4 linked regions of the Diceros bicornis minor genome follow. The protein of the gene in region 4 interacts with the protein of the main gene of each other region in a pairwise test. Links are inferred from orthologs where the notes say so. Each region holds a gene or a part of one and is shown on either strand. Other genes may lie near its edges. The genes, in order: DRAP1, NADK, CDA and SDCBP.

Region 1 (7,041 bases), on a different chromosome or scaffold from region 4:
CTGCACCACTCACAGTGGCCACAGCCGGTGTGGTGCTGTGTCACTGCTCTCTCGTGAGCCAGCCTTCAAGGCCCTCCACAATCTCGCCCACCTCTGCTCCCAGTGCCCCTTCTCACACCCTTCGTGGCACCTGGCCCAAGTTCTAGTTTTCAAGACCTGTTCTGTTACCTGTCGCATCTATCCCTCTGCAGCAGCCTAGCAGGGACAGAATGGTCTCCATCAGAGAGATGCGAGGAGGCTGCTCAGAGAAGGGTAGGAACCTGCCCAGGGTCACACAGCACGATGAAACAGGTTGTCTCCCGGCATAATGGGTACCTGCTGGCTCAGGCCCTACACCACCCTGCCCGCCTTCCTTCCCTCAGCACCACTGGGCCTGCCCTGGCATAACTGTGACGTAAAGCCCCTCCCTTCACTCTGCTGCTGCCTGGCCCACCACCACTCCTGGCCCCAGCTCAGTGTGGAGAAGGCAGGTGAAAAGATGGCAAGGTGGCCACAAAGCCCTAGACAGAGGCTGGGACAAACACTGGCATTCCCTTTTATTTCTTTTTTTTAATAAATTTAAGAACAGTTCTACCTTCTCTCTTCCCCCCAGAACAACCAAAACCAACTAAAAAGGGGTGTGGCCTGGGGGGCAGAGGGCGCTAGGAGTCATAATCCTCTTCATCCTCTGCATCAGGTGCTGAGGGGCCTGGGGGCACTGGGGGCAGAGGCAGAGTTGAGGCAAAGGGCATGAAGGGTGTCGGGGGGCTGCTAGGCAGAAAACAGGAGAGGAAGGTCAGGCCACTGCTCATTCCTGACCCCTAAGCCACCCCCTGCCCTCCACACGGGCAGCATGGAGCCCACCGCCCTCGGTACCAATAGGGAGCCAAGCCCAGAGAAGGGAAGGGCCCAAAGCAGGTCACACAGTCCCTGCCCAGGCCCCATCCACTGCCCCGCCCAAGAGTGGAAGGGACCTTCGGAGAGCACAGTCTCCTACCTTTAAGCCCTCCTCAGTTTCTCCCTTCCCATGCCCCAAATCTGCCACAACCAATAGATCCAAGTGGTCATGGAGGCCAGGAGGGACAAGTCAGCCTTGGGGAGTCTGCTGGCCCTTTCCTGGCGCCCACTGAGCTGCTTACCTCTGTAAGTGGGCGGGGGGGTGGCTGGCCTGGGGTGGGGCCTGCGGTGTGTCCTCTTCCCCATCGGTGTCTGTGTCCTCAGACTCATCCTGGTAGCAAGGTAGGGATGAGAAGTGACATGAAAGGCATGGACTCATCACTGGAAAGCACAAACCCCTGAGAGTAGCAGGGACAGGAGGGTGACCTCCATAGTCCCAATTTATAAACAACAAAACCAAGGTACAAAGAGATAAGAGGTGAGGATGGAACCAGGCTCCAGCCAGCCCGGCCTGAGACAAGCCTGCCCTCTGCACACTACGAGACAGAGGGCTGGGGGCCTCACTCACCTCCTGCTCCGAGTCTGTCCCCGACAGCTTCTTATCCTTGCCTTTGCTTCCCATCCCACCGTTCTTCCGGCCACTGCTGCCTGGCTTCCGGCCCCTTCGAGAAGGTACAGTCCATCTGCCCAGAGGTCACCCCCCCATTCATCACCCCCCAGCCACCCCCAACCCTGGTGGCCTTGGCCTTCTCCACCTGCACACTGGCCCTCGGTCCCCACCTGCGGGCACTCTTGTCCCCATCCATGTGGTTGTCTTCCCCGTCCCCCTGCATGTCAGGCACAGATGCCACCAGGTCCTTTAAGAAGTCAAACTGCTGCTCCAGCTCAATGCACTGTTTCCTGGAAGAGATGGGGAGGGGATGACACTCAGGTGGGGCCCAGATGTCTGGGTCCTCAGCAAGGGACAGTAAGAGGCTCTGGATGTCAGGAGAACAGAGCCTGGAAAGCCTCCACCCCATCTCCACCACCCGACCTCCCCCGCTTTGCTGGAACACCCAACTCCTCCTCCCCCAGTTCAAACCCACCAGTCTTGGAGGCCTGGCTGGTTTCCCAGCAGCCTCCCACCTCCCTCACTATAAGAACGCAGCCGCCCCTAACTGTGTGAACTCCTGGGGCACGGCCCCACTCAGCCCTCTCAGCTCCGCAGCCACTCACAGGTGGGATGTGGTCATGGTCTTGGCATTTCGGGACTGGGTCACCTGGCAGGCCTTCTTCAATAGCGACTCCAGGAAGAGCTCGAGTGCCCGGGCTGAGGGGTGTCAAGGAGAACGCAGCTAGGGGGGTCCCCAGCCCACACAGGCGACCCCGGGCTGCCTCCCTCTCCCACGTCCCTCAACCCAACCAGCCCCCAACAGGATACAGATGATGACAGGCACAGCCGCCGCCACCTTCCCAATCTCTTCGTCTGTCTGCATGATCTTCTTGATCCGCGCCTGGGGAAGGGAGAGAGCTCGGACCCCGTGGCCTCCGACCCAGAAAGGGGTGCTGGGGGCGAGCGAGGGGGGTATCCCAGGAGAAGGGGGGAGGGGGGCACGGACGCGGGGAGGGCACGGAAGGGGGCGGGGCGTCCGGGCCCCCGAACAGCGCGAAGCGCCCGCCCCCCCAGCGGGGCCTGGGCACAAGCCTCACGAGAGCCCGGCCGCTCCTCCCGGGCCCGGCCACGTGCTCACCGGCGGGAACCGGGCGTTGTACTTCTTCTTCTTGCTCGGCATCTCGGGGACTCTCTCGCCGCGCCGGGCCCAGCGCCGCCGCCCGCAGCCTCCCGGCCCCGGGGCCTGCTCGCCGCCCGCCCGCCGCGGTTCCCCCGGGTCCTGGCGCCGCCTGCTCCGCCCCTGCCGCTCCCCACGGGGTCCTAGCGCCGCCAGTCAAGACGCCGCTCCCAGGGCTCGAGTGCCCTCCCCTTATAGCCTCCCGGGCGGTGCACGTCGGTCCGGGACAGGGCCGCCACTCCCACCCGCGCCCAAGGCCAGGAGAGCGAACGTTAGCCCCGCCCACGCAGGCCCGCCCCTCCCCGGGCTCCCTGACGGCCCCGCCCCCGGGGTCAGCCCCGCCCCCACCTGCCCCGCCCCTTCCCTCGTCGGCCCCGCCCCGCGGCGCGGCCGATCCGGCCCGGGGGCCCCGCCCCGCGCTGCGCTTGTCTATAAAGTTGTTGTTGAGGCGGCGAGGCGCTAAGATGGCGGCGGCGGCGGCAGCCGTGGCGGGGGCGGGGCGCGGCGGCGGCGGCGGCGCGGAGCCCCGGCAGGAGCGGAGCCGGGCCCGGGGCTGGGCCGGCGCCGAGCGCAGCGAAGGCCGGAGGTGACGGCTGGGCGGCGGGAGGGGGCAGGGCCGGGCGGGAGCGTAGCTCGGGCCGTGGGCGCTAATGGCGGCGGGCGCGGCTGGCCGGCGGCTGGCCCTCCCGCAGGTTCCCACCAGCCTGGGTTCGAGTCCGGGCACCGCCCCACTGGCCTCGGACCCGTCACAGCCCTTTCTGGGCTTCAATGTCCTGGTTTTTAAATAGGCCCGATGACACCCCCCCGGGAGGCCTGGCCCTGCAGGGCCTGCCCCAGTGCTGCGCGATTGCGCGCCTGTCTTCCTCCCTCCATTAAATCCCGGCGCTCGGGGACCTGCCAGTGACTGGCAGGGCCAGGAGGTGTGGCTGGGCCGGCTGCTTCCACACCTGAATGCACATTATGGCCCTGTCACTCTCTACAGGTGTGACCTTGGGTAAGTCCCTTCTCTCTGAGCTTCAGTTTCCTATCTGTAAGTCAGGGACAGTAGTGATAACATTAGCAACAACACTTACGTAGCTCGTGTTCCGCGTCAGGCATTTAATTCTCAACAGCTCTACAAGGCAGGAACAGTTGTTACTTATTTTAAAGATGAAGCAACAGAGGAACGGTGACATTAAGTCTTGCCCAAAGCCACACAGCTTAGTTTAGTGCCTAGCACCCTTCTAGGGCCCAGTAAGCTGTAGATCTGTCTTGGACCTGCCCTAACTCGGTTCCCTCGCTTCAGGATGGAGCCAGGTGAGGAGCTGGAGGAGGAGGACTCTCCAGGCGGCCGGGAGGATGGCTTCACTGCTGAGCATCTGGCCGCGGAGGCCATGGCAGCTGACATGGACCCCTGGTTGGTGTTTGATGCCCGCACCACACCTGCCTCAGAGCTGGATGCCTGGTTGGCCAAGTACCCGCCATCCCAAGTTACCCGCTATGGCGACCCTGGCTCGCCCAACTCGGAGCCCGTGGGCTGGATTGCAGCATATGGGCAGGGCTACGTCCCCAATTCAGGCGACGTGCAGGGCCTGCAGGCAGCCTGGGAAGCTCTGCAGACCAGCGGGCGGCCCATCACGCCAGGTACCCTGCGCCAGCTGGCCATCACCCACCACGTGCTCTCGGGCAAGTGGCTGATGCACCTGGCACCTGGCTTCAAGCTGGACCACGCCTGGGCCGGCATTGCCCGGGCCGTGGTCGAGGGCCGGCTTCAGGTGGCCAAGGTGAGCCCACGGGCCAGGGAGGGTGGGCGCCAGGTCATCTGTGTTTACACGGACGACTTCACGGACCGCTTGGGTGTGCTGGAGGCCGATGCAGCCATCCGTGCAGCAGGCATTAAGTGCCTGCTCACCTACAAGCCTGACGTCTACACCTACCTGGGCATCTACCGGGCCAACCGCTGGCACCTCTGCCCCACGCTCTATGAGAGCCGTTTCCAGCTGGGGGGCAGTGCCCGCGGCTCCCGTGTGCTGGACCGCGCCAACAACGTGGAACTGACCTAGTAGGGCCAAGTAGGGGAGACCACTCTCTGCCCTCCCTGCCAGGGATGGATCCTCCCGTCTTCCTTGTCCCAAGGAGGCCAAGTCCCCCAGCTCTGAGGACTAGGTCACTCGGGAACTGTCTGCATCTTCAATCCCCTTGAACTTCTGCCCTCTGTTCAGGGCTGACTCAAGTCCCCACCGGCTGGAGGCTCTGGCTCCCTGGAGGCTCTGGCTCCCTGAGGGCCGGACCCTCAGCCTCTCTTTTCGCTGCTGCTCCCCTCTGCCATCGAGGACCGCAGGCTGGGTGCAGACCCCCAGGAGGAGAGCCTTCCTTGGCTGCCCTCATCCCTGGCTGTACCTCCCCCCTCTCCTGCATCTTCCCCTTTTTCTCTTCCTCCCTCACAAGAGAAAAGACTTAGGGCTTCCAGTCTCTCTCCTTGGAGCCTTCACAGACCAGCAGGCAGAGGCCCTGCAGGCCTGAGCATGCCATTTTGTTGGGGGGATGAGTGTGCCCACTCAGCCCTGGGCAGAGAGAGAAGATGCCCGGGCCATGGACATGGGGCCTGTCCCTCCCTGCCCCCTCACAGCCTGCACCACCTTTCTCCCTTCCTTCACTACCTTGTCATGTGCCTGCTCCTGGCATTTCAATAAAACCCAGATTGGGTCTGTGTCTTGAGTGTTTTTTAAAATACTGTGTTGGTGGTTACTTGCTTTGGTTGCTGGAGAGACGCAGGGCCAGGAGAGACTGCCCCTTTGCTCTGATGGGGCCCCCCTAACATCCCCCAATAATAAGATACTCCTCACTGCCAAGCTTGAGAGGGGCTGGCCCCGTGGCTTAGCGGTTGAGTGCGCGTGCTCCGCTACTGGCAGCCCAGGTTCGGATCCCGGGCGCACACCGACCCACTGCTTGTTGGGCCATGCTGTGGCCGCGTTCCACATACGGCAACTAGCAGGATGTGCAACTATAAAATACAACTATCTCCTGGGGCTTTGGGGAGAAAAAGGGAAAAAAAAGGAGGAGGATCGGCAATAGATGTTAGCTGAGGGCTGGTCTTTCTCAGCAAAAAGAGGAGGACTGGCATGGATGTTAGCTCAGGGCTGATCTTCCTCACCAAAAAAAAAAAAAAAAAAGCCTGAGAACTTCTCTGAGAGCCTCTGCAAAGCCAGCCCTGCTTCCCCTCCATCCTAAGAATCAGAATCAGTTTCTCAGTGATTTCCCATAAATCCAGGGGCTCAACCCAGCAAAGTCCGAGGGGCCACTACTAACCTACAGGGTGTATTGGCGCCTGTTAGAGAAAGGTATCCTCTTGGTCTAGAAGTTCTGGGCCAGGGCACACGGTCTGGTGAGCAGCAGATAGGCTGGATTTCCGAAATCTAGGCTGGACATCCTTGTGCAGTGAACAACCTGCACAACCATAAGTGACCCTGGAAGCTTTCCTGTTTATACTCACCTCTCCCACCACCCTAATCATCACGGGCCACAGAACGTTTGCAAAGCACTTCCTTATGCATTATTTAATCACAACCTCTTTAAAAGGAGATGTTGGTCCCATTCTGTGGTCAAGGAAATTGAGGCCAAGAGGGGAAGGGAATTCCCTCAGAGTCGTGGTGAGTCGGGCAGAGCTAGGCCTTGCACCCCGGTCCCTGCCTCCTCCTCAGGCAGAGTGTGGTCCCTGGCTTCACCCACAGGGAGCTCCAGGCACATTCCCTCACGTGATCTCACTGGGCCACCCCGATCAGCTGAGGCTGCTGCAGCCTCGGAGCCTGGCTCTGCACCCCCCAACCCCGTGCCTGGCCCTGGCCTTGGTTGGAGGCCAGGGTGTCTGGCAGGGAGCCCCTTAGGACACTGCTCTCGTGCCGTGCCGGAGCTGACTCATCCTCCAGCAGCCTCACCAAATTGGAATTTGGAGCAGGGGAGCGGAGATGCCACTGGGCTGACTGGGTGGAAGTGGGTGAGTCATGAGATGCTGGCTCAGCCCCCTCCCCAGCTTCCTCCCCACCCTGAGCTTCCCCAGGGCTGAGTCCCCCCTAAACCCAGCCCTGGGAAGTCCCCAGAGCTGAGTGGTCTCCCCTTGGAGCCTGGTGCCCTGCCTCCCCCAGCCTGTCAGTGCTCTACACTTGACCAAAGTGCGCCAAGGCTTGTGGGGGATCCTGGGAAGGCCCTCATGGGTCCCCCAAAGATGCCCAAGGGGTGTCAACACCGCCTGGTTCTCCTTCCATAACTAAGCGTTTGACACGCTCATCCCTTCTCCAGCCTCATGGCCCTGCTTTAGCCCATTCCTCACTCTCTCTTCACCAAACCATTGCACTTGCCTGCTCTGCCCGCTTCCCCTCCCACTTCCCCCCTGTGCCCCCACAGCCAGCTCTCCCGCAGA
Region 2 (7,620 bases), on a different chromosome or scaffold from region 4:
ATGGGGTAAGCTGCACAGAATCACACGCATGTAAAAACTGGTGGAATCTGAATGAGGAGTGTAGGGTAGCGAATGGTATTTTTCCAACACCAATTTCCTGGTTTTCAAATTACTGTATTATTGACATGTAAGATCCAGGGGAACGGTGCAGGGGTTTCTCTGTACTATTTTTACAACTTTCTGTGAGTCAGTCTACACTTATTTGAAAACAAACAGCAAATTAAAAAAAGGATAAACCAATCAAAACCACAAAAGGCAAATGTTTTTAAAAATCGTCTATTACACATATCTAGAAGCTGTTAAAATACACTTGCCAAGACTAATTTGGTGACTAAGCAGTAAACGAGTTCATAAAATAATCATATTAAATATTAAAACCAGCTTTTAAAATTTATCTCACATTTGGGCCGGCCCCGTGGCTTTAAGCGCGCGCAATCCGCTACTGGCGGCCCGGGTTCGGATCCTGGGCGCGCACCGACGCACCGCTTATCCCGCCATGCTGAGGCCGCGTCCCACATACAGCAACTAGAAGGATGTGCAGCTATGACATACAACTATCTACTGGGGCTTTGGGGGGGAAATAAATAAATAAAAATTAAAAAAAAAAATTTATCTCACATTTAATTCAACTTTGTTTGGTATGTTACTGTTTTAAAAGGATGAAATTCCAACTCCATCCAAGTTCATTCAAGTTCCTGACAGCAAGAATCTAATTCGAAAAGACAACGTCTGCATTGGAAAGTTTTTAGAGAAGAAGTGTTGGAGCAGAGTAACAGAGTGTTCGTGGGTAAAGGACTCCCAGGGTGGTGAGCAGAGACGCTGAGACGCCAAGAAACAGGTGAAGGACCCAGCAGAAGCCACACACACGCAACTGTTCACTGACACACACATCTCCAGTGTGAGCTCTCAACACCTATTTGCTGAAATACTGAATGAAAAAGGAAAGTTTAGGGGCCGGCACAGTGGCACAAGCGGTTAAGTGCGTGCACTCTGCTGCGGCAGCCCGGGGTTCGCCAGTACGGATCCCGGGCGCGCACCGACGCACCACTTGGCAAGCCATGCTGTGGCGGCGTCCCATATAAAGTGGAGGAAAATGGGCACGGATGTTAGCCCAGGGCCAGTCTTCCTCAGCGAAAAAAAAAAAAGAGGAGGATTGGCAGATGTTAGCACAGGGCTGATCTCCTCACCAAAAAAAAAAAAAAAGGAAAAGGAAAGTTTATTTGGTGACAGAAATGGGAAAATGTTCAACCTCACTAATTAACACTGAGTTGGAAAAAAAGTGCCTATGAAATTGCCCTTCTCTTCTCCCCCAGTAAATAACACCCAATGCTGCAAAGACAGTGATAAAACCGGGCACTGGCAGTGAACAAATCAAGAAAGACCTTTTGGAAAGTTGGATGGCAACGTGAACCAAGTGCCTGAGCCCATGGACTGAACAGGATGAGAGACCTGAGGGGCTCTACAGACAGGTGGCTGCTCCTTCCTGGGCAGGTGAGGAGAGGGGTCTGTGCAGGTGTCACCCTCCCTCACACACCTCCTGGGCCACACTTGCTGGCTCCTCTGAACACTTTTCACGGGTAGTCTAGACACATATTTCCTGTTCCCATGCACTGGACCTTATGCCAGTTGTGGGTAGGGAGACCGCAAAGGGTAAGCCACCAGCACAAACAACAGAAATGGAATCCTGGAGTTACAAGCTGACCCCCACTTGGCAGGATGTGAAGCCTGGAGGAGGCCTGCAGGCAGAAGTGCCCCCTGCCCGCCCAGGGCTTCTCTGGCTCTTGTAACATCCAAGCCTACAGAGAAATAGTGATTGGAGGTAACAAAGATGTGGGGCCATCAACTCCCGTAAAATACCACCCGCCTCTTCATTCTGCAGGTTAAACCTATCTTTTCTCAAGCACTAACATACGCAATAAAACCAACTGTTGTTCCCATTTCCTTATCAGGGAACAGACTGGTCGGCCGGAATCCCCACCCCCGAGAACTGCTGCTGGGAACCCCCCAACTGTCCAGGGACTCCCAGCCGTCGGGGGCCCTCAGCCGTCCGGGGCCCCCCCAGCCGTCCCGTGCTCGGGTGCCCGGAGGACAGGACGCGGGGACTCCGGGAAGGGGCCTGAGGGCGCCGTCCGGATGAAAGGACACAAGTCCCTGTGTCCCGCCCGTCCTTCAGAACCAAGGCCCCTGGGCGACCCCGGCCCAGCCCCCTACCGCGGGCATCGGCAGGTCACATGTGCATTCTAACCTAATTGATCACCCCATGAGGACTGGCTCTCGGAGGTATCGCCAAAGCGCGGACTCGGGGCCGCCCAGCAGCCGTCCTCCGAGATCGGGGTCGGCCCGCTCAGGCCCGGGCCCACATCGCGGAGACGCCCCATTCCCCGACTCCTCGTGACCCCGACTTCTGGTGATCCCGGACCCCCGCGACCCAGACCCTCGGTGACTCCGACCCCCCGCGACCCCGATCTCCCGTAACCCTGGCCCCCCCGCAACCCCAACCACCGGTAACCCCGATCCCCGGTGATTCCGACCCCCCGCGACCCCTGTCCTCCATGAACCCAATCCCCCGAGACCCCGACCCCCGGCGACCCAGACCTCCGGGAACCCTGGCCCCTGCGACCCCGACCCCAGCGATCCCGACCTTGGGTGATCCCGGACCCTTGAGACCCGACCCCCGCTGACTTCGACCCCCGTGACCCCGATGTCTCACGAACCCAGTCCACCGAGACGCCGATCCCCGGCGACCCCGACCTCCGGGAACCCTGGCCCCTGAGACTCCGACCCCAGCGACCCTGATCCCTGGTGACCCTGACCCCAGCGCCCTCGACCCCCGGTGACTCTGGCCCCCCGCGACCCCTGGGAGCGGCGACCCGGGGCGGCAGGCCCGGCCGAGCGGCCGCGCGTACTCACCGTTCGCTGCCGCGGACGCCTGCGGGGCCTCCCTCTCGCCAGGCCGAGCCCGCGGGCCCCGCCCCCCGGCTGCCGCTCGCCGTCGCTACCCGGCTCCTGGCGCCGCGGCCGCCCCTCGCCCCATGGCCGCCCCCGCCCCACGGCCACCTGGGCCGCGGCGCCGGCCCGCCGAACAGCAAAGCCGCCGCGCTGCCAGTGCGCACGCGCACCCAGCCCGCCCTGCGCATGCGCCTGCCCGCCCCGGGCACGTGGGGCGGTCTGTCTGGACGCCGGGACCGGGCTGGGTGAGGGCGGGGGCCGGGGGCCGGGGGCCGGGGGCCGGGGGAAGGAGGCCACGGTAGAGGGGAGGCCATGGGGCGGGGGACGGGGCATTCGCTGCCCACACCTCGACGGCGATCCCGGGAGGACGACACCTGGTCTCCGCTCACTCCGTCGCGTGGGAAGCTCGTCTGCCCTCCCGCCCGGGCCCGCTGACCTGCTCCTGTCCCGCCCCCGCTCCCCTCTACCTCGGGCCAGGTGGGCTGCCTGCGGTCCCCCACGAGTGGTGATACCACCCGCCGAGGATTCCATAACTACCAGGGTGTGACTCTGCTTAGGAGGAACAAGTTTGGGGAACCAAAATTCGGTGTGAGCAGCTGCGACAGAACCGCACCCCTCCGCTGCCGGCTTAGCTGGAGGGAGCGAGCCTGCCCCCAGGCCCTCGTGGGCTTCGCCCACCCCAAGCAGCCTGGCGGGTCCTTGCACACCACCTAGACCTCAGGGGCTCTGGGCCTAGGGTCTCAAAGGGGCCCCTCCAGGGTGACCTGCCAACACTGTTGTCGTGTCGTCCCCCCCCCCCCCCCCCCCCGTCCCCGTCCCCGTCCCCGGACTTAAGGACCCAGAGGAGGGAGGAAGGGAGCCAAGGCCACAGTACCAACTTTGTAGCTTCTGGTGTAGCTGCGGGCCTCCCCCAGTCCAGGCACCTCCTCGAGGTGGGTGGGTTCTCCCAAGGCTTGCTGAATTGACGGTTACCCATCACTAGTGCATTCAGAAGTCGTGTCCCAGTGGTGTGCCAGGCTCCTCGGACATGTCTGTGAATAAGTTGGTGCACGGTTACTGTAGGAGATGAACCCGGGCAGTGCACTTTGGGCTGCTTTCTAACCTGCCTGGCTCCCCAAGTGCCAGCCCTTATTCCTTCTCTACACTTGGGGTTCCCGGACATGGAGCACCAGGCCGGTGGCCCCCAGGCTTCCCCACACCGGGTACCTGCTGTTGTCAGAATTCTCTGGCCAGGATTCCTGGCTCTGTGTCTAGAGACCTGGAACACGGCTGGACACAGAGCAGGACACGTCTCACTGCTGTCCTGGGACCACTGGGCAGTGGGGTCACAAAGCGTGAGTGGAAAGAGGGGCAAGGATAGCCGGAATTTGGGGGGATTTCTCAAGCTCTGTAACTTCCTCATCTGGTTATTTTGTAAACCTGACTGCTTCCCCAAAGTGACCACCAGCCACACCCACAGAAGAAGCCTTTTGAGCTGTGTTTTTGGATGTGATCATTAACATAATAAAAATACTAATGCTTGATCCAGGACTTGCTACATGCCTGGCACTGGGCCAGGCTTCCCAGGAACCTTCTGAGCAGGGACAGTCTGAGAGAAGGCACTGAGGCACGAGCTCTGGCCATGTGACTAGCCGAGATTACACAGCAGGCACCCTTCCTGTGTACACGTCTCTAAAAGGAACTTGTGCAGGTGCGTGTCTGTGATCAGGGACACCCTCTGTCCACCCTGGACCTCGAGACTTCGGGGAAGGGGCGCTTCCCCATTTCAGAGATGAGAACATGGGTTGTGGCTTCCTTCAGCTGACGCTGGTTGTGCAGTCTACCCCAGCAGGCCCCGGGGCTGACCCTGGGGATTCGGGGGCCTTGAGCTCATACCCAGTCCCCCAAGGGCTTCCTGCAACAGCGAAGGCCAATGCTGGGAGAGGCAACTTAGGGCATCCGGAAGGTTCCTACAGGAGGTTTCGCATGAGCTGAGTCCAAAGGCTGAGCAGGGATGAGCTAGCTGTGGTGGGGAGAGGGAAGGGCCAGCAGCGGGGCCAAAGGCCGGTGTGGGGCTGGGGGCTGGATGCCAGTCAGGCCAGTTTGGCTGGGCAAAGGATGAGGGGTCTGCCTTAGCCTGCTCAGGCCGTGGGGGACATGCTGATGCCTTAACCTTTCCCAGCACCAGGCTACCTGCAACTCTTAATGTGATTTGGTATTTGTTTCTTTGTATTCTTTTTCTTAAACATGGCTCCTCTATTGTTGAAGTTTCAGACCCCCAAAACCTTGACCCACCCTCTTCTGAGGTTTGAATGATACAGCGGGGTAGGTGGAGTGGGTGGTAGGAGAAGGGGGGAGCCTGGGCCATGAAGGGTGGGCAGGATGGGGCGGCCCACCTAGAGCTGACAAGGGGGTGCCCCTGGATTTTGGGTGCAGTCTGGGGGACTCCTTGGCTCTAGAGTGCAGGCGGGGGGGGGGGGGGGTGCTCCTGGCTCTCAGGTGCAGGGGATGGTGGGGATGCTCCTCTTCGGGAACCTGCTCTTAGCTCTGAGGAAGTTGGCCTCAGCTGTGCCTGGCTGTGGTGAACCGAGCCTGCTCAGCACCTAGTAGGGGAAGTGGCCAGGAGCCTGGGTGACAGGCAGCTAAGAGGGTCTGCAGCCCCCTGTGGAGGAGGTGAGTGTCTCCAGCTTTCCAGAGGTCATCTGGTCCATCTCCCAGCCTCTGGCCTCCAGCCAGCACGCCTAGGACAAGTCTGGCCTCTCTGCCCGGCCTTACCCAGTCCTCCCCAGGGGCCAGTGTCTGGAATAGCCCACTTGGCAGTCTCCTCTTTGGGCTGGTTTTGGGGTTCAGAGCAGAGTGGTGGGGGCGGGGCGTGGGGAGCGCCGAAGACCCCGTCGTCGCAGGGGCACGGCGGGCTCCGCGTTAAGGGCCAGGCACTGCTCGGTGCTGGGGACGAAGGGAAACCCGTGCCCTGGTGCCTGCGCAAGCGCACGTGCGCGCCAGGTGCCTGAGGAGGCGCGCCCTGCCTCCGGAGCTGAAGTGAGCACCAGACGCTGAGCGGGTGGCTGGGGTCAGGGCCCGCGAGGTCACTGAGAGCCCCAGGCTTCCAGGGGTGCAGCGGTGGGCGGAGCGCGGACATCGCACCACGAGTGGGGCCGGTAACCCGGGCACAAGGGGCCGGAGGCTGCAGAAGAGGCTGGAGGAAGGGAAGGGAGAAGGGCTGGCACCCTGGAGGGAACGCAGCCAAGAGCAAGATGTCACTCAAGTGCGTCAGGCTGCGGGGGCAAAGTGCTAACAGGCCCTGCTCAGGCTCCCAAACTTGAGTTTGTGCCTGAAGTGTGAAAACGATTGCAGCTCACACTCAGCAGCACCGGTTGCCAGCTGCTCTCGGAATGCCCCTAGTGGCACCTGTTTTCAGTGAGGGCTTTGCTGAGAAACTGGGACAGCAGTCTCCAGACCAGTAGAGGGGCTGCGCTGTGCGGCCACTGGGTCAGGGAGCAGGGGACATGCTGGTGCCAGGCTGGGGCACTGGAAACAGGGATTCCCGAGGGGAACAAGTGCCCGTCTGTGGGCCGGCCAGCCAGCCTTTGCTGGGGCTCCATTTGACCCTGTACCTGCCTGTGCCCCTCCAAGGGTGGGCCACCGTGGGCTGGTGTGCCCCTGCTTCTCAACCCCAGGAGACCCTCCCTCTGGAGGACTCCGGCTGCCAGCCCAGGGAGCACCTCAGATGCTCTCTGGCATTTTCTAAGACAGCTGGCAGCGTTAAAACTTGCAAAGAACAGATTTATTTCAGGGAAAACTGGAGGAGGAGGTTGAAGCCAGGTGAACCCACGGTTCAGGCTGCCAGTCACCCAGGAGACAGCACCCCTGGTCCTGGCAGAAACACTCAGAAGACCTCGACAGGGGCAGCCGAGGCCCCTCCCCAGGCAAAGCAGGAGGCCCCTGCTGCTTGTGCTTCCTGGTGGTGGAAAAGGGAGCCTGCGGCAGGAATACTTCCCACTGAGAGCAGTCTTCACTTATTTATGAAGTACCAGCGTTTGACCCATGAAAATTAGAACCTTGAAAATAAAGATTGTGTCCTTCAGCAGAGAAGACAGGAAGGGGCAGGTGGGAGGAGGTGGAGCAAGCGCCCTCCTCGGTGACACTCGCACTCAAGCTTGGTTTCTCATGCTTGGTGGCAGATGCTCATTTTTTTTGTTTTTTGGTGAGGAAGATCAGTCCTGAGCTAACATCTAGTGCTAATTTTCCTCTTTTTGGTGAATAAGATTAGCCCTGAGCTAACACCTGTTCCCATCTTCCTCCATTTTGTATATGGGATGCTGCCACAGCATGGCTGATTAGCGGTGCGTAGGTCCGCGCCGGGATCCAAACCTTCGAACCCCGGGCCACCGAAGCAGAGCGTGGGAACTTACACACTACGCCACCAGGCCGGCCCTGATGCTCATTTTTTCTTACAAGATGCAGTTCTTTTTATTCAGACTATGATGAAAACCGTTCAGTCAGAAGGAAAGCACGTCTCTGGAGTAATGTCCTCAGGTATCTTAGGGAGGGAAGAGGAACGAATGGCCGCCAGCTGGGCTGCAGGCCCAGACAAGGTGAGAACGGCAGGACAGCTGCCTCGGGAGACCCACAGCGCCTGGGGAAGCGGCCCAAAAGGGGGATGGGACAGGGCAGTCTGGGTTGTGACAGGTG
Region 3 (7,691 bases), on a different chromosome or scaffold from region 4:
TTCCATACCGAGTGCTTAGTGAGTGCTCAATCCATCGTGTCTCTGAATGTTGCTGTTGGTCCCTGCCCATCATGCCCCCAGCATAATCCAGCTCTGCCTTCAGCTTCCCACCTCGGTCCGTGCCTCATCACTCCCCCGGCCCACCTCACTGGAAGTCCTAGAACCATATTCCTTTCCTTTATTTCTAATACTGCCAATCCCAGGCCCGGTCCATTTGTCCCACACAATATCTCTGAGATCTTTCCTTGCTCTTCATTCCACCTGCTACTGTTCTAGTCCAAGCCGCTCATTCACGCGTTCACCGAAGCTTAACTGAGGATGTATTACAGGCCAGGAAATGCGCTGGCACAGGGGACAGGTCAGCAAACAAGACAGACATGGTCCCCCTGACACTCTTCCCTCTGCCCCAGCGCTCCTTGAGTACCTGTCAGACTAACTGTCCTCAAACACCACTTTCACGTTGCTCTTCTTCTTAGTAACGTTCCTGGGCTCTCTACTTCCTACCTCATCAAATCTCAATGTCTCTGTTTGGCCTTCAAAAGGCCTCCACGATCCGCTTCCCCCTCATCGTCATCATCATCATCATCGTCCAAGTAGAAGCAGCCATCATATGTGACCGTCTTACTGTGGGCCAGAAACCGTGCCAATCCCTTCATAGGCATTAGCTCCTACAAAGCCTCACAACCAGGCACGAGACTCAGCATTTTCAGTGACTGATGCAGCACAGGCTCCAAACGTCAGGGGGGACCCTGGCTGCCACGCCAGGCCACGCAAACCTGCTCTGTTCACAGCCATCCTGAAAAGCGGGCGTAATGATCCTCCGTTTGCTCACGTGTAAGCTGAGACTCAGAAGGGTCAAGGGTCTTGCCCAGGGTCACATAGCTGATAAACAGCAGCACCAGGATTCAAACCCAGGAGCCTCTAACTCCCGAGCTTCACCCCATCTCACAGGGCCTCCCTGAATCCACATTGCACAACCCTTTCTCTGGGGACACCAGGTCCTTCTCTGCAATTTAAATAGGCTTCACTCCTGCTCACCTCATTCATTCACTCCTATAATCATTGGCTGAGGATCCCACTTTGAGCTATGGCCTGTGCAAGAGGAGGGGACCTCCTTAAGGGCAGGGACTATGTCATTTCTGCTGTGATATCCCCAGAACCTGGTACGTTACCTAGCACATAATTGGTGCTCGGCAAATATTTGTGGAATGAATGAATCAATGCAAGGATGGGCAGGGCCCCTTCCTGTATACCGTCTGGAGGAGATGTGGAGGCATTGGGAAGAATCAGTAGCTGATTCCATGTTCATGGCCCTGGAGCCGTGGGGCAGCGTGGGTTGCAATGTTTAATACCTGTCTGAGCCACCAGGCCAAGCCTGAACTTCCACATGAGACTCAGAGATCCTTTGTTCCCCTCAGAGGAGCAGACTTCGGAGTCAGAGGAGCCCTGGGTTTGAATCCCAGTTCTTGCGAGTTAACCTCTTGGAGCCTCTTTCCTTCTCTGCAAAGTGGGGATGTAATAACCACCTTGCGGGGTTCTAAGGCTTAGATGGGTAACATTAGGCACGTTCCTTTCATGTATTAGGACTCACTCAAGGTTCCTTCTCCTGCTCAAAGATGTTTAAAACCCGGGTGACTCATGAAACTGACAGAACCTCAAAAGACAAGAGATAACATGAACATCAAGGAGAGCTATAGAAGGTGAGGCGGGGGCCGCAGCAGACTCACAGCTGAGTGGTGGTGGGGGCGAGTGGCTCACACCTGGCCCAGGGTGCTGGGGGTTACCAATTCGATGCACACATGTGAGTCTTTGCTCCTTTAACTACCTGCTGCCAAGCAGAGGGGGAGTTCTAGGCAGCAGGACTCGGTGCTCCCGTCCGTCCCTCTGTGCCAATTCTCATCTGCTCTGGGGTGGTGGTGGGAATGAGAGGCGTGGGGAGGGGCTTGGCTTCCCTGCCACCTCCACAGCATGTTCCCCACTGTCCTGAAATAGAATGCCCCTTAACTTAGCAAAAACAAGTGTGAAATTTTGTCCAAGTGAGCTTTTTTATAAAACCAACAAACCAAAGAAAAGTTGCTTAGGAACAGATTTGTGCTGACTCGGATTCCTGTCCCCCCCTCCCCAGGCTGGCACTCATTGCTGGTCACCCAAACCCAGCCTGGCTTCTTTCCTCCAAGACCCTCTGCAAGGCCCGCACCCCACAAACAAGTCACTTGACCTGGATTCCGGGCTTTCTCCATCCCTTAGCATGGTGGGTGACGGGAAAAAGCAGGGTTTTGGGGACCCCAGCCCTGGCTTCCACCACCAGCGCCCCGTGTGGCCTTCAGCAAGTCATGTCATCTCTCTGAGCCTCAGTTTCTTCATTGAAAAATGGGCATAACACCTAGGTCAGTGGGTCGGAGGTGAGGACTTGCTGATAGAACTTGTGGGAGCCTTAGAGGGTCCAGACACAGAGGAGGGCTCAGAAAGTATTAACCCTCTCCCTCCCCGCACACCAGGACTGCGGATGCCTCCCCTCCAGCTTGCTTCCTCATCCCACCCTTGCTTCCCAGTCCTCCAAGAATTGAAAGCCCCTAGATTTAAGCAGCAGATGAGTTTTCGGGGCTCCTTTACACCTTCAATCCCGCAGTCTGGGCCAGTGGGCAGGGCAGGGGTGAGTGGCAGCGTTACAGGGGATGCTCAGGGAGGAGGGGACAGAGCTGCTCTCTTCTCTGCCTGTGCCTTCTGTGTGTCCTTCCCACTTGTCCACTTGTCCTCTGACTTCCCCATCCAGGCTGCCAGGGATGGGGCCCCCGGGCGCCAGCCCTTACCCGAGAAGATCCTCCCGTCCCGGGTGAGGAGGGCGGCCCCCACAGGGAAGTGACTGTAGGGGCAGTAGGCTGACTTCTTGGCCTCCTGGGAGGAGAGCAGCAGCTGCTGGACCTGCTCGGGCTCCAGGGTGCAGGCGGGACGCTCCTGGGCCATGTCGGTTCCTGGGCTGCGGAGGAGAGGAAACAAGCTCGCCGTCTGCCTGAGCTGGGCCCCACTAAGACGGCAGCTCCTCCCCCCGGGTGTGTCCCTGCGGAGGGGCTGCCAGATGCCCGCCTGCGGGGATGCTGGGCGGGGCCCGCTCAGGGAGAGGAGTGTCCAGTAGTTCTGAGTCAGAGGGTGTGGTGTGTAAGGCTGAGCTAGTGTGTGTCCAGCATGGAAGGATGTGTGCTTCACACTCTCCCTTGGGACCACTCACACTGCTGCCTCACTGATGGGTGAGTGGGTCAGGGGACGGGTGCCACCATGCTGGGGGTGACTGTGGACACACACTCCTCAGAGGAGATGCTGTTGGGCGGGTCAGCATGAGGTCTAGGAAGTCCCAGCTCCAAGGGCTGAAACTCTCTGTTGAATGACTTCTTCTCTCTGTCACTGAGGGAAGGAGTGAGGCTGAAAGGGAGGGGCTGGGGCAGCCACATTCTTGAGACACATAGTGTGAGTGCAGCAATAAGATTGAGGAGCTTCCTTATTTCACCCATTCTCCTTCCAACTCCTCGCTGCCTCAACACAGAACTTAAAAAGTATCTCAGCTGGAGGGAACTTCAGAGATCATCTACCGGGGCCTTCTCCTATTTTTGTTGGCAAAATGAACACTGGGTTGGTGCTAAAAGAAATGGGTTTGCATCCTGGCTCCACCATTTTCCACATGTGTAATGGGTGGCAAGTTACGTGACCTCTCTAAGCCAGTTTCCTGGTCTCTACAGTGGGGATAGCGTTAATCTCTGTGCTACGTCCTCAGATCACAGAAGAGCTTGAGTGTGGGGGTTTGGTAGATCCTAGTTTGAATTCCAGTTCTGCCACTTATTAGCCGTATGACCTTGTGGAGGTCATACCACCCCTCTAAGCCTCAGTTTCCTCATCTGTAAAGTGGGTGCACTAACGGTATTTCACAGAGTTGTTGCGAGGATCGAATGAGGTAATGTGTATACAATGCATATGGTTGGAGGATCCTGTGACATCATGATGTTAGCACACTTTGTGGCTCCATGCGGATTGGGTTATTGTCATTAAATGATTTGGCTAAGATCACATAGGAAGGCAGAACAGTGTCCAGAGGTGTCCAAATGTCCCCAGACCCCCAGCAGGCAGGAGTAAATCAGCGGCTTCTCTGAGGGCTTGGATGGGGGGTGAGGAAGGGGAAGGGGGAACGGTAGGGGAGGGGGCAGAAAATGAGGCCGCGTCTCCAGGTTCTGCATGCTGACATCTCTGTGCTTTGCAGCCCAGCATCCCTGTGTCCTGCACCTTGGCCCCTCTGTGTCCTGGGCCTGGAGCTCTCAGCCACGTAGAGACCCTGCTGGGCCACTGTAGAGTTGGGCACTTTGCCTCATTTCCTCCTCCCCTCCCCTCCCTTCCCCCCTTCAGAATTCCCCCACCCCCTTTCTGCACATCCAGCCCTCAGAGAAGCAGCTGGTTCCCTCCTGCTTGCTATTGCATTTTCCTCCTGGATCTACACCTTTGGCATCTAGAGCAGTTTCCTGGATCTGAGGCAGGGCAGGCAGAGAAACCACTGGGAATGCTCTCCCGGTCTCCTCTATTCCTGCACTGCCCAGATGCCCTTTCCCCAGGGAAAGAAAGCAAAGGATGTCCTGGGACCATGTGTACCCACTCAACATGGGAATACTTCTAAGGCTTCTGGTGGCCAAGTATAACTACAACTGGGAAAAGGGGTGTGGTGCCCTGCTGGCCTGCCAGGCCTGTTCCTGCCCTGTCTTGACTCACCCCAGCTCTGCCCAGACCCAGGGCTGGACTCCTTGGCTCCCCAGTTACAGGAAAACTGGGATGACTTCCAGGCTAATTATGATGGCCGTTGGCACCTTTGAAGTTCTTTCCCGGCACATGGTAATAAATGGGGACAGCGCCCATTGCAAACTCCGCTGTATGGAGCTTGGGAGCCAGCAGTAGCTCTAGATTTCCTTATAGAAGGGGCTTGGGGTGGCCATCTGGATGGAAAGGGAGCATGGGCCTGGAGACTTTCTTAGAGCTAAGTTATAGATCAATAATATTAACAGAATTTTCTAAACATGCTTTAATCTCCACTTTATATAAAATTGAGAGAAATTAATTGCCCAAAGAATTAACTCAAAGAATAGGAATATCCAAGGAAGGTATTTTGAGTGGTGGTGGAGATTGTCAAGGGCCCAAAGTTCCCCCACCCCCATCCCCTAGGCCTTTCCTCTGTGAAGAGAACCACCCAGAGTCCCTGTGTTAGAGCTCAGATACCACCCACTCATTCATTCAATGAATAGTTACTCATAATAATAGCTAACTCTGCTTTAGCTCTTTCCATGTGCCAGGCCCTGTGCTAAATGCAGGACTTGAATTATTTCATGTAATCCTTACCACAAGGTACACACTGGCCATATTATTGCCTGCGTTTTACTGATGAGGACACTGAGCTCATGGGGATCAGAAATGGATCTCAAACCCGGGTTTGTCTGCCTCCATCCGAATCCTGGACTCTTGTCCATCCCTGAACTCATGCGGAGCGGGTATAACGGACTGGCAAATCCTCCTTCTGCCTCTTATTACCAGCTGGGTACCTAGGCAAGGTAGCTCATCGCTCTGTGCCCTGCTTTCCTCATTTATACAGTGAGACAACTCCAGGACCCACCTAGGGTGGCTTATGGTGACCGTAGCCTTACTCTGCTCGAGAAGGTTTCTCATTTCTTTTATTTCGTCCCCTTTAGGGGAGACCTCCTGATGGGCTGCCAGTCACTGTGCTTCCACTCCCTGGTGGGCCTAGGCAGTTGACACAGGATGGCCCATCAGAGACCTCACCTTTCTGCTGGGAATGTTGGTTTCTCCCACTGTGGTGGCTAAGCTAAGAGGATGTGACTATTGCTGACGGCCAGCTTGCCCTCCGGGTAGAGTGAGCCTGCTTGCAAAGTGAAGCCAGGTGGAGAGAGGCAGAGGTGAGAGGTGGAGGGAAAGAACCCTGATTTCCCTCTGAGTGCCTGGATCCAGCCATGCCTGAGGCATGCTTCTAGACTTTCCTTCTATTGAGCCAGTAATTCACTTCTTGCTTAAACTTTTTTAAGTTTTGTTTCTGTCAGCTCTATGGCATCTAGGCTAAAATACTACTTCCTAGGATTGTTGTAAAAATTGAGTGAGATGTTATATGTAAAGCTCTTAGCACAGTGACCGGCACGTGGTAAGTGCTCAACAAGTATTAGCTCCTATTATAATGAAAACTGTGTGCCAGGCCCTGTGCAGGGCACTAGAGAATCAGTTGAATGAGACTTGGTACCTGCCTTTGAGGAGCTCATACTCTAGTGAAGGAGACAGGCAAGTCAATAGATAGGTATAAAACACTATAACACACAATTAGGTACTGGGTCCTGTGACAATACTGAATAACTAATTATCTGGAGGGAGCGGTGGGGAGGTGGGCTGGAGAAAGCTTCCCAGATGACAGGAGGCTAAGAGGAGTCCTAAATGATGGCTGGATGTTCAGAGTGGACAATGTGGGTGTTATGGGTTGAATCATGCCCCCCCCCAAAAAAAGATATGTTGAAGTCCTAACCTCCAGTACCTCAGAATGTGACCTTATTTGGAAATAAGATCATTGCCGGTATAATTGGTTAAGATGAGGCCATACTGGAATATGGTGGGCCCCTAATCCAATATGACTGGTGTCCTCACAAGAAGATGGTCATGGAAGACACAGAGACACAGGGAGATTACCATGTGTAGATGGAGGCAGAGACTGCAGTAAGGCATCTACAAGCCAAGGAATGCCAAAGATTGATGGCCATTACCAGAAGGTAGGAGAGAGACATGGAACAGATTTTCCCTTACAGACTCGAAAGGAACCAACCCTGCTGACACCTTGATTTTGGATTTCCAGAATCTAGGACTGTGAGAGAAGAAATTTCTGTTGTTTTAAGCCACCCAGTTTGTGGTACTTTGTTATGGCGGTCCCAGGGAACTAATCCAGTGGGTATAGCAGATGCTGTCAGTGCCTCATCTACCCCCTTAGCCACCCCAGAGGCCACCTCCAGCTTTAGTGGATAGATCCTGGACATACTCATGGCTTCCTACCTTATGCATACCCTGGGCACAGGAGTGTGCTTAGCCCATGCATAGGGGAGGCCAGAAATGTCAGGGAGTTAACACTCCCTAGAGGGATTAGGATCCATAATACATCAAGAATTCCTAAAATCAGTAAGAAAAAGACAAACATCTCAATAGAATAGTAAGCAAAAGGCTTGAACAGGTATTTTACGGAAGAAATAGGGCTGGAAAGAACTTCTCTACAAATTTTCAAGTCTTCGAACTTGGCCACATAAAAATTAAGGAGTTTTGTTCAGTCAAGGACTTCATAGACAAAGCTAGCAGAAGGTTAAAAAAACTGAAAAAAAAATTTCGATGGCTAGAACAATAACAAACGAATAGCGTAGTGATTATGTAAGAAATTGACAGCAAATCAACAAGACACAGACAGGAAACTCTATAAAGAGATGGACAAAGGATATGAATGGGCAATTTATAGAAGGGGGAACCCAAATGGCAGGAAGTATTTGCCCAATTTCCTTATAGTCACAGAAATGAAAATAACACAATGAGTCACTTTACACCTATCAGAATGCCAAAAAGAAAAAAAACTAGGATGACGACAAGTGCAGGCAAAGATGAGGGGAGACTGGAACACTCACGTGCTGCTG
Region 4 (7,211 bases):
TATACAAGAATTAACTCAAAATAATTCAAGGACCTAAATTTAATACCTAAAACAATAAAACTCTTACAAGAAAACACAGGACAAAGGATTGACGATGTTGGATTTGGCAATGATTTCCTGGATATACCAAAGGCACAGGCAACAAAAGAAAAACAGACATATTGGACTTCATGAAAATGTTACAATTCTGTGCATCAAAAAACAATACCAACAGAGTAAAAACGCAACCCACAGAATGGGAGAAAATATTTGGAAATAACATATCTGATAAGGGATTAACATCCACAATATTTAGACAGCTCTTAAAACTCAATAACAAAAAAAAACAAACAGAACTGGCAAAGGACTTGAATAGACATTTCTCCAAAGAAGATACAGAAATGGCCAATAAGCACATAAAAAGATGCTCCAAGTCATTAATCATTACGGAAAAGCAAATCAAAACTACAAGACATCACCCCAAACTCATTAGGATGGCTACTATCAAAAAAAGAGAAAACAACAAGTGTTGGTGAGGATGTGCTGAAATTGGAACCCTTTTGTGCACTGTTGGTGGGAATGTAAAATGGTGCAGGTGCTACAGAAAAAGTACAGCTGTTTTTCAAAAAATTAAAAATAGAATTACCACTTCCAGCAATTCCACTTCTGGGTATATACTGAAATGAACTGAAATCTGGGTCTGAAGAGAGAGCTGTACACCCATGTTCACAGTAGCATTATTCACAGTAGCTCATACGTGGGAGCAACCCAAGCGTCCACCGACAGACAAACGGAGAAGCAAATGTATCCACACACAATGGAATATAATTCAGCCTTAAAATGGAAGGAAATTCTGCAATATGCTACAACATGGATGAACCTTGAGGCTATTATGTTAAGTGAAATAAGCCAATTACAAAAGACAAATACTGTATGATGCCACTTATGAGGTACTTAGAGTAGTCAAAATCATAAAGACACAAAGTATAATGGTGGCTGCCAGGGGTTGGGGGGAGGAGAGAATGCGGAGTTATTGTTTAATGGCTACAGAGTTTCAGTTTTACAAGATGAAGAGTTCAGGGATGGATGGTGGTGATGGTTACACAACAATATCAATGTATTTAACACCTCTGAATTGTACACTTAAAAATGGTTAAGATGGTAAATTTTATGTTATGCGTATTTTACCACACAAAAAAAAAGGAAGGGGGAAAGTATATTTATATGTTTGTTTGTATAGGTATAAAATATCCCTGTATGGATATCTAAAACGTAAAATGGTTGGCTCCCACAGGAAGGGAATATGGTTAGCTGGAAGACCTAGAAGGAAGACGACTTAAAACTGTGTATCTTTTTTATTGCTTCAATTTTGAGCCATATTTCTGCTTACCTCCTCAAAAACTAAATAAATGTACAAAAACTGTTCACATCACTTGGAAAGAAATTAACAAATGCTAATATAACTATTACTAGATATATATATATTTTAAAGTTGTTTGGGGGACTCCTTTTAGAAACTCTAAGCATTTACTACCTAAAAATTACCTAAATTTGGCAAAAACAGGAAAAATAGTTGAATCATTCTCAATTTAAGGAACTGTTTTACCCAACAGTACATTCAACTGCCAACTATTAGTAAATTCTTCCTCTTTTGGTCGTGATTTTTATATCCTTTCTTATAATGCCCAAACATAACTAAAAATTAATGTTGTCAAAGTTAAATCTGGATTATAATGGAGTGACTATTTCCTGCATCTTTTAAAACACATTCCACTTGCTTATTTTTATTCTGTGGCACAAACCACTTGATCTATAATATTTACATACCATTTAAACTACAAAAGTTTTTAGAACTAAGTTGGTAACAGACAAAATGAAAAAACATTTTTTACTGTTTGTCCTTAACCTCAAACAGAAAAACTAAAGACGGGACAAATCTGAGTGCAAACTAATCACTTATATATACCTGCGATTAAGCTAAGAGCTTGCAGCTGTTTTTCAATGTAATTTTCCTTATTAATCAATTATTTTTCTCTTTGAAGTAAGCAGATGTTAAGAGTCTGGTACACTAAGTGTACTCTGTAAGTAATGTACTTACACACTAGAAAAAACAGCGGTAAATCTGTATGCAGATAATATATACAGACTAGATAAACCTAGAAATTCCTTTCAAAAACTGGCACATTAGAGGACTCCATGACTACATAATTCCACTTTGGTGAAAAAGAAAACTTTCCACGTCCCTATGTCTTCAGTTTCCCGTTATTACAAGGAAATCCTGAAATGAAAGCTCTGAGTCACTAGATCTCAAGGGACCTTACTTCTGAACACACACCCTGCTGGAAACGTTTCTCTTTCCTCCAATTTCTCCATAAATAAGCGCACAGCGAATCACCCTCTCCTCCATCCCCTTCCAGAAAGCCAAGGCTTCGCCCACTCAACAAACACCTCCTCCCTCCTTCCAAATCCGCGACAGTCCGATTAAGCACCACGCCAGGTGAGTGAGTCCAGCCCAGGAACGCGGAGCAGGGTGGGGAACCGCAGCCCGGCTCCTTCTGCCCCGGGCACCGGGGAGCTTCTCCAGGAGGAACAAACAGCGCCGACGGGGACCGCAACGCCGAGCAGCCGCTGACTGCGGCGGGGTGACCGCGCGCCCCCGCCCCTGCGCCCCGGCCCCGGCGGGCCCTTGAGAGCGGCGGCGGCGGGCAGGCAGAGCACGGCGCCCGCGCCAACTTTCGCCCCGGGCCCGGCTGGGCGCCAGGAGGGGCGCGGAGCCCACTAGGGGACGGCGGCGCCGCCCCGCCTCCCGAAACCGCCGCGACCCAGACGCTCTCCGCTTAGTGCCGCGGCCCCTCCGCCCCTCCGCCCCTCCGCCCCACGCCCGGGACGCGGCTGAGCGTCCCTCTTTTCCCCCAGAGCTGCTCACCCAGGCCACAGGACCAGCTCGCCGCCGCCGCCTCGGTCGCTGGCACGGACTTCCGAGACCCGAGGGGAGGGGAACGGCGCACGCCCCAGGCCCGCCCGCGAGGCGCGTCACGGCGCCGTCCCCGCCCCTGCCCGCGGCCCGCGCAGGCGCACGGCGCGCAGTCAGGTGACCCGGTCCCCAAGGTAACGGGGCAGAGGGGAGGCGGGTGACGGGGGCGGACGTGGCGCCGCTGCCGCGGCTCCCCGGGCTTGGGGAAGGTAGAGCTGCCCACGCTGCCACCTGTTGTGCTTGCCACGTTCTCCACGCTCCTAATGGTTCGTGCCCGGGGGCCCAGTGCCTCCCGCTCACTACTGTGAGGGGTTTGCGCTCGTGGTCACTTGGTTCCCATCACCTCCAATACAAAGAGAGTCCTGAGAACCTATCCTTTGGAGATTTCCTCGCCAACCTTGGACTTCCACCACTATGGTCCAGCTCATCACCACCCTCTCGCTTTACCACCTTCAGGCTCAGAAACATTCCTCCCACTAACGCTTCTCAACTCCTGCCCTCTTTGTGTTACAGCTTTTTTCCTTTGGCTTTTATTACTCTCTGTCCATCTAACCTGAAGTTCCTTGGCTGTTGCAAGTTATGTGTGGTACCGCACAAAAGTAGTAGCTGTATCCTAATTCAAAAACTAAAAAACTGTATTTCTTGAAGGCTAACTGTATTCCAGGCGCTGTCCCAACAGCTTGATGTATGTAGTCTTATTTGGTCCTTACATCAAGCTGTTAGATAGGTATAACAACCCCATTAGCGTACAAAAACACTGAGAGACAGTTTTCCTAAGTTACCTACATTTACCATATCGTTCCCATGGAGTAACATAAGTACTTGACAAAGTAACATTAACTTAGGAGCATTTTATCTCTAGCCAAATTTAGTGCCACGGTAATTTATGGTAAAAGAAATAAAAATCTGAGCATAAAAGAGATGACAAATAAATAAAACGAAATCTTTGCCATCAGGGAGTTTATGGTCTAGCTGATAAAATAGACATTTAAAAATAATGACACAAGGTGCTGCCCCCCACCCCCTGTGGTGTAGTGGTTAAGTTGCACACACACACACACACACACACACACACACACACACACACACACACGCTTCAGTGGCCTGGGTTCCCAGGGCCCAGGACCGCTGCACAGACCTACACCACTCCTCAGCCATGCTGTGGGAGTGACTCACATACAAAATAGAGGAAGATTTGCACAGATGTTAGCCCAGGGCCAATATCTTGCTCAGCAAAAGGAGGAGGATTAGCTCAGGGCTAATCTTCCTGATAAAAAAAAAAAAAAGTTGAAGAGTAAGAATTAGCCAAGTGAAAAATGGAGGAAAAGTGTTTCAGGCAAAGAGAATAGCAAACTCAAGAGCGTTGCAGTTAAATTGAAGCTTGATGCATTTCAGAAGCTGAAAGGCCACTTTGGCCAGAACACAATAGTAAGAGAAGGAATGGCTTAAGAAAAAGCTGGAGAATTAGGCAGGGCTGTACAGATGCTACTGAGGAGTAACATGATTAGATTTGCATTGTAAAACGATTACTGTGGTTACTGCTTGGAGGATGGATTGGATGTGTGGATAAGTCTGGGATGTGCAGAGACACACTAGGAGACTACTACAGTAGTCCTGATGTGCCAATTACAGTGAAGATGGAGAAAAATCAGAGAAATCCAAACAATATTAGAATAAAGATTCAAGAAGGCTTAGTAGTTGGTAATGTGAACTAAATATAGGGAGGTATCTTACCTAAGGTAAGTACCAGGTTTCTGGCATGAGCGAGTAGGTGGATGTTGGCACATTTGCTAAGGTGGGGTACACTAAGATGAGAGAAATAGGAGGTGGGAAGATTAGAAGATTGTTTTTGGATTTATTAAATTTGAAGTGGCATGTGAGTTATCAGTTGTGGTAAGCTGAATAATATCCCCCCAAATATGGCCATGTCCTAATCCCCAAAACTTGTAAATATCTTACCTTACATGGTAAAGGGGACTTTGCAGGTGTGATCAGGTTAAGTATTTTGAGATGGGGAGATTGAGAGAGAGAGAGAAGCTAGAGGATCAAAGTTGGTAGTAGAAGATGTAAGGGAGAAAGCAGAAATTGAAATGATGTGGCCATGGGCCAAAGGATGCCAGCAGCCTCTAGAAGTTGGAAAAGATAAGGAACAAATTCTCCCCTGGAGACTTGAAAAGGAACCAGCCCTGTCAACATCTTGATCTGCAGAATCACCTTGATGCGTCCATCACCTATGTCTACAGAAAACTGAAGACTTACTCCCTAGTGAATGAAGCGAGGGTGAGTAAATATCTGTATACTGAATAGTGAAACCCTGGTCCCCTTTTTTCCATCTGTCCATTGGCTTCAGGGATGCTCACATTCAGGCTTGTTGCCATCCCCTGCCTCCATGCAGGCAGTAGATTGAAAGATACCTCTTTGGAGAAACTCAAGAGAAAAGACCTGAAGATACTGACAGTTGACCTAATCACCCTGTAACGATGTCCCCCAGTTACCATGCCCCATCTTTGTTTTTAGTCCACTCTTAAAAATGAGCAGATACCCAAGCCAGCCCTGATGGCCTAGTGGTTAAAGTTCAGTGCTCACTGCTTCGATGGCCACCCGTCTGTCAGTTGCCATGCTGTGGTGGCAGCTCATGTAGAAGAACTAGAAGAACTTACAACTAGGATATACAACTATGTACTGGGGCTTTGGGGAGATTAAAAAAAAAAGGAGGAAGATTGGCAACAGATGTTGGCTCAGGGCAAATCTTTCCCTGCAAAAAAAAACAAAAGAGCAGATACCCGAAGATTCCCCCAAATTTGAAGAAGCCTCTAGTATGAAGAAACAAACAGAGGGAAAAAAAGAGAAATGTCACTGAGCAATGGGCTCACTCTGCTTGCCATGATCTGAGCCAATCAATCACAATGAGTTAGGGATTGAGAAAGGAAGCTTTAATTTGATTAGCCAGTATAATTGGGAAGATGGCAGACTAAGGTCTCAAAAAAACCATCTTCAAGGATTACAGAGTCTCGAGGCAGTTATGTAGGGAAAATGGGCTGTAGGGAGGGGGTCCAGAGATGTTGCTCTCCAGGCGTGTTAGGCTCCAGGCATCACATTGTTCCAGTCTTCTGTCAGGTGTGATGGATAACTTGTAGGTGTGTTTCCCTCCTATGGTCAACCTGTTCCTGGAGAGAAACTCATAGAACAAAGTTTTAATTTGTCAAGCTATAGGGGAGTACATAGGTAAGCAGAGGCCACGAGTCAGGAGAGCATGCGAATTTTTTTAGAGTATGTGCAGAGCAGCAAGTAGTCACACAGAGGAGGGGCTGGGGCCATTTAGTGTAACAAGATGACCTCACTGATGCTCACTTACAGAAATAGGAAGAAACAGTGACAAAAAATGTTAAAAGTCCATCATTGATCTTTTTCAGAGAGAGAAGTTATTGCATTCATAAAAGAGGAACAGAATGATATTTTTAAGGAATATTCAAAATGTTATGCTTTAAAAATGACATCTTGGATATTAAAATGTATAATGACAAAAACGTAAAAAATTTCTAAAAGCTTTAAAAGGTAAAGTCAATGATTTCTTCCAGAAAGGAGGATTAAAATTTCAAAAAGATAGTAAATAGAAGAGAAATAATAAGATCAAGGATTGATCCACGAAGTCAAGCATCCAAATACTAGAAGTTCCAGAAGGAGAACATGAGAAGAAGAATGTTCTAACTAATGCTAGAACAGTACAGAACTGGAGAACAGGTATCTCCAGGTTAATAGGACCCGCTGAGTACCCAGAACAGTTCATTTTAAGAAAGACTCACACCATGGCACATCATTGTGAAATTTTAGAACATTAGAGAAAATCCTAAAAGTTCTCAGGTAGAAGAAACAGGTCATATACCCATGACTGAGAATCCGAACGGACTGGAAATGCTTGAAGGACAATGCTAGAGGACAATAAATCAATGCCTTCAAGATTATAAGAGAAAGTGGTTTCTAACCTAGAAGTCTATACCAAGCTAAACTATATCATTCAAGTGCGGTAGAAATGAAGAGATTTTTCTATATACAAGGAAGCAAAAAGTTTCTCTCTCATGCTCCCTAGCTCAGGAAGTAAATGATAAAGTAAATATATATTTGCTGCACAAAAATAAGAATACAACAAGAAAAAGGAAAAGAGAGTAAGAAGGTTCCTACAACACAGAGGCTTCAGCATAAGAGAGGGGCAAAAAGAGTTGAAGGATGATGTTGAAGGGGATCCTGGGAAGACAACCAC

Evidence for each region.
Region 1: the proteins of SDCBP (region 4) and DRAP1 interact in binary tests that used the Homo sapiens proteins (3 or more experiments, as listed by UniProt). The two-hybrid records come from large-scale screens. The link is inferred for Diceros bicornis minor from reciprocal best matches to the Homo sapiens genes SDCBP and DRAP1.
Region 2: the proteins of SDCBP (region 4) and NADK interact in binary tests that used the Homo sapiens proteins (3 or more experiments, as listed by UniProt). The two-hybrid records come from large-scale screens. The link is inferred for Diceros bicornis minor from reciprocal best matches to the Homo sapiens genes SDCBP and NADK.
Region 3: the proteins of SDCBP (region 4) and CDA interact in binary tests that used the Homo sapiens proteins (3 or more experiments, as listed by UniProt). The two-hybrid records come from large-scale screens. The link is inferred for Diceros bicornis minor from reciprocal best matches to the Homo sapiens genes SDCBP and CDA.

Annotation. Positions count from the first base shown.
Region 1 is NC_080770.1:7,367,905-7,374,945, forward strand, and holds DRAP1 (dr1-associated corepressor), read right to left. Parts: upstream 2,820-7,041; 5' UTR 2,649-2,819; coding exon 2,607-2,648; intron 2,370-2,606; coding exon 2,297-2,369; intron 2,186-2,296; coding exon 2,092-2,185; intron 1,777-2,091; coding exon 1,657-1,776; intron 1,560-1,656; coding exon 1,445-1,559; intron 1,208-1,444; coding exon 1,119-1,207; intron 748-1,118; coding exon 642-747; 3' UTR 513-641; downstream 1-512. Other genes in the region: C31H11orf68 (UPF0696 protein C11orf68 homolog), read left to right, coding at 3,110-3,231, 3,931-4,687. UniProt on the Homo sapiens protein: The association of the DR1/DRAP1 heterodimer with TBP results in a functional repression of both activated and basal transcription of class II genes.
Region 2 is NC_080752.1:22,581,501-22,589,120, forward strand, and holds the start of NADK (NAD kinase), read right to left. Parts: upstream 3,009-7,620; 5' UTR 2,911-3,008; intron 1-2,910.
Region 3 is NC_080752.1:37,612,603-37,620,293, reverse strand, and holds the start of CDA (cytidine deaminase), read right to left. Parts: upstream 3,010-7,691; 5' UTR 2,965-3,009; coding exon 2,811-2,964; intron 1-2,810. UniProt on the Homo sapiens protein: This enzyme scavenges exogenous and endogenous cytidine and 2'-deoxycytidine for UMP synthesis.
Region 4 is NC_080772.1:11,906,265-11,913,475, reverse strand, and holds the start of SDCBP (syntenin-1), read right to left. Parts: upstream 3,007-7,211; 5' UTR 2,906-3,006; intron 1-2,905. UniProt on the Homo sapiens protein: Multifunctional adapter protein involved in diverse array of functions including trafficking of transmembrane proteins, neuro and immunomodulation, exosome biogenesis, and tumorigenesis.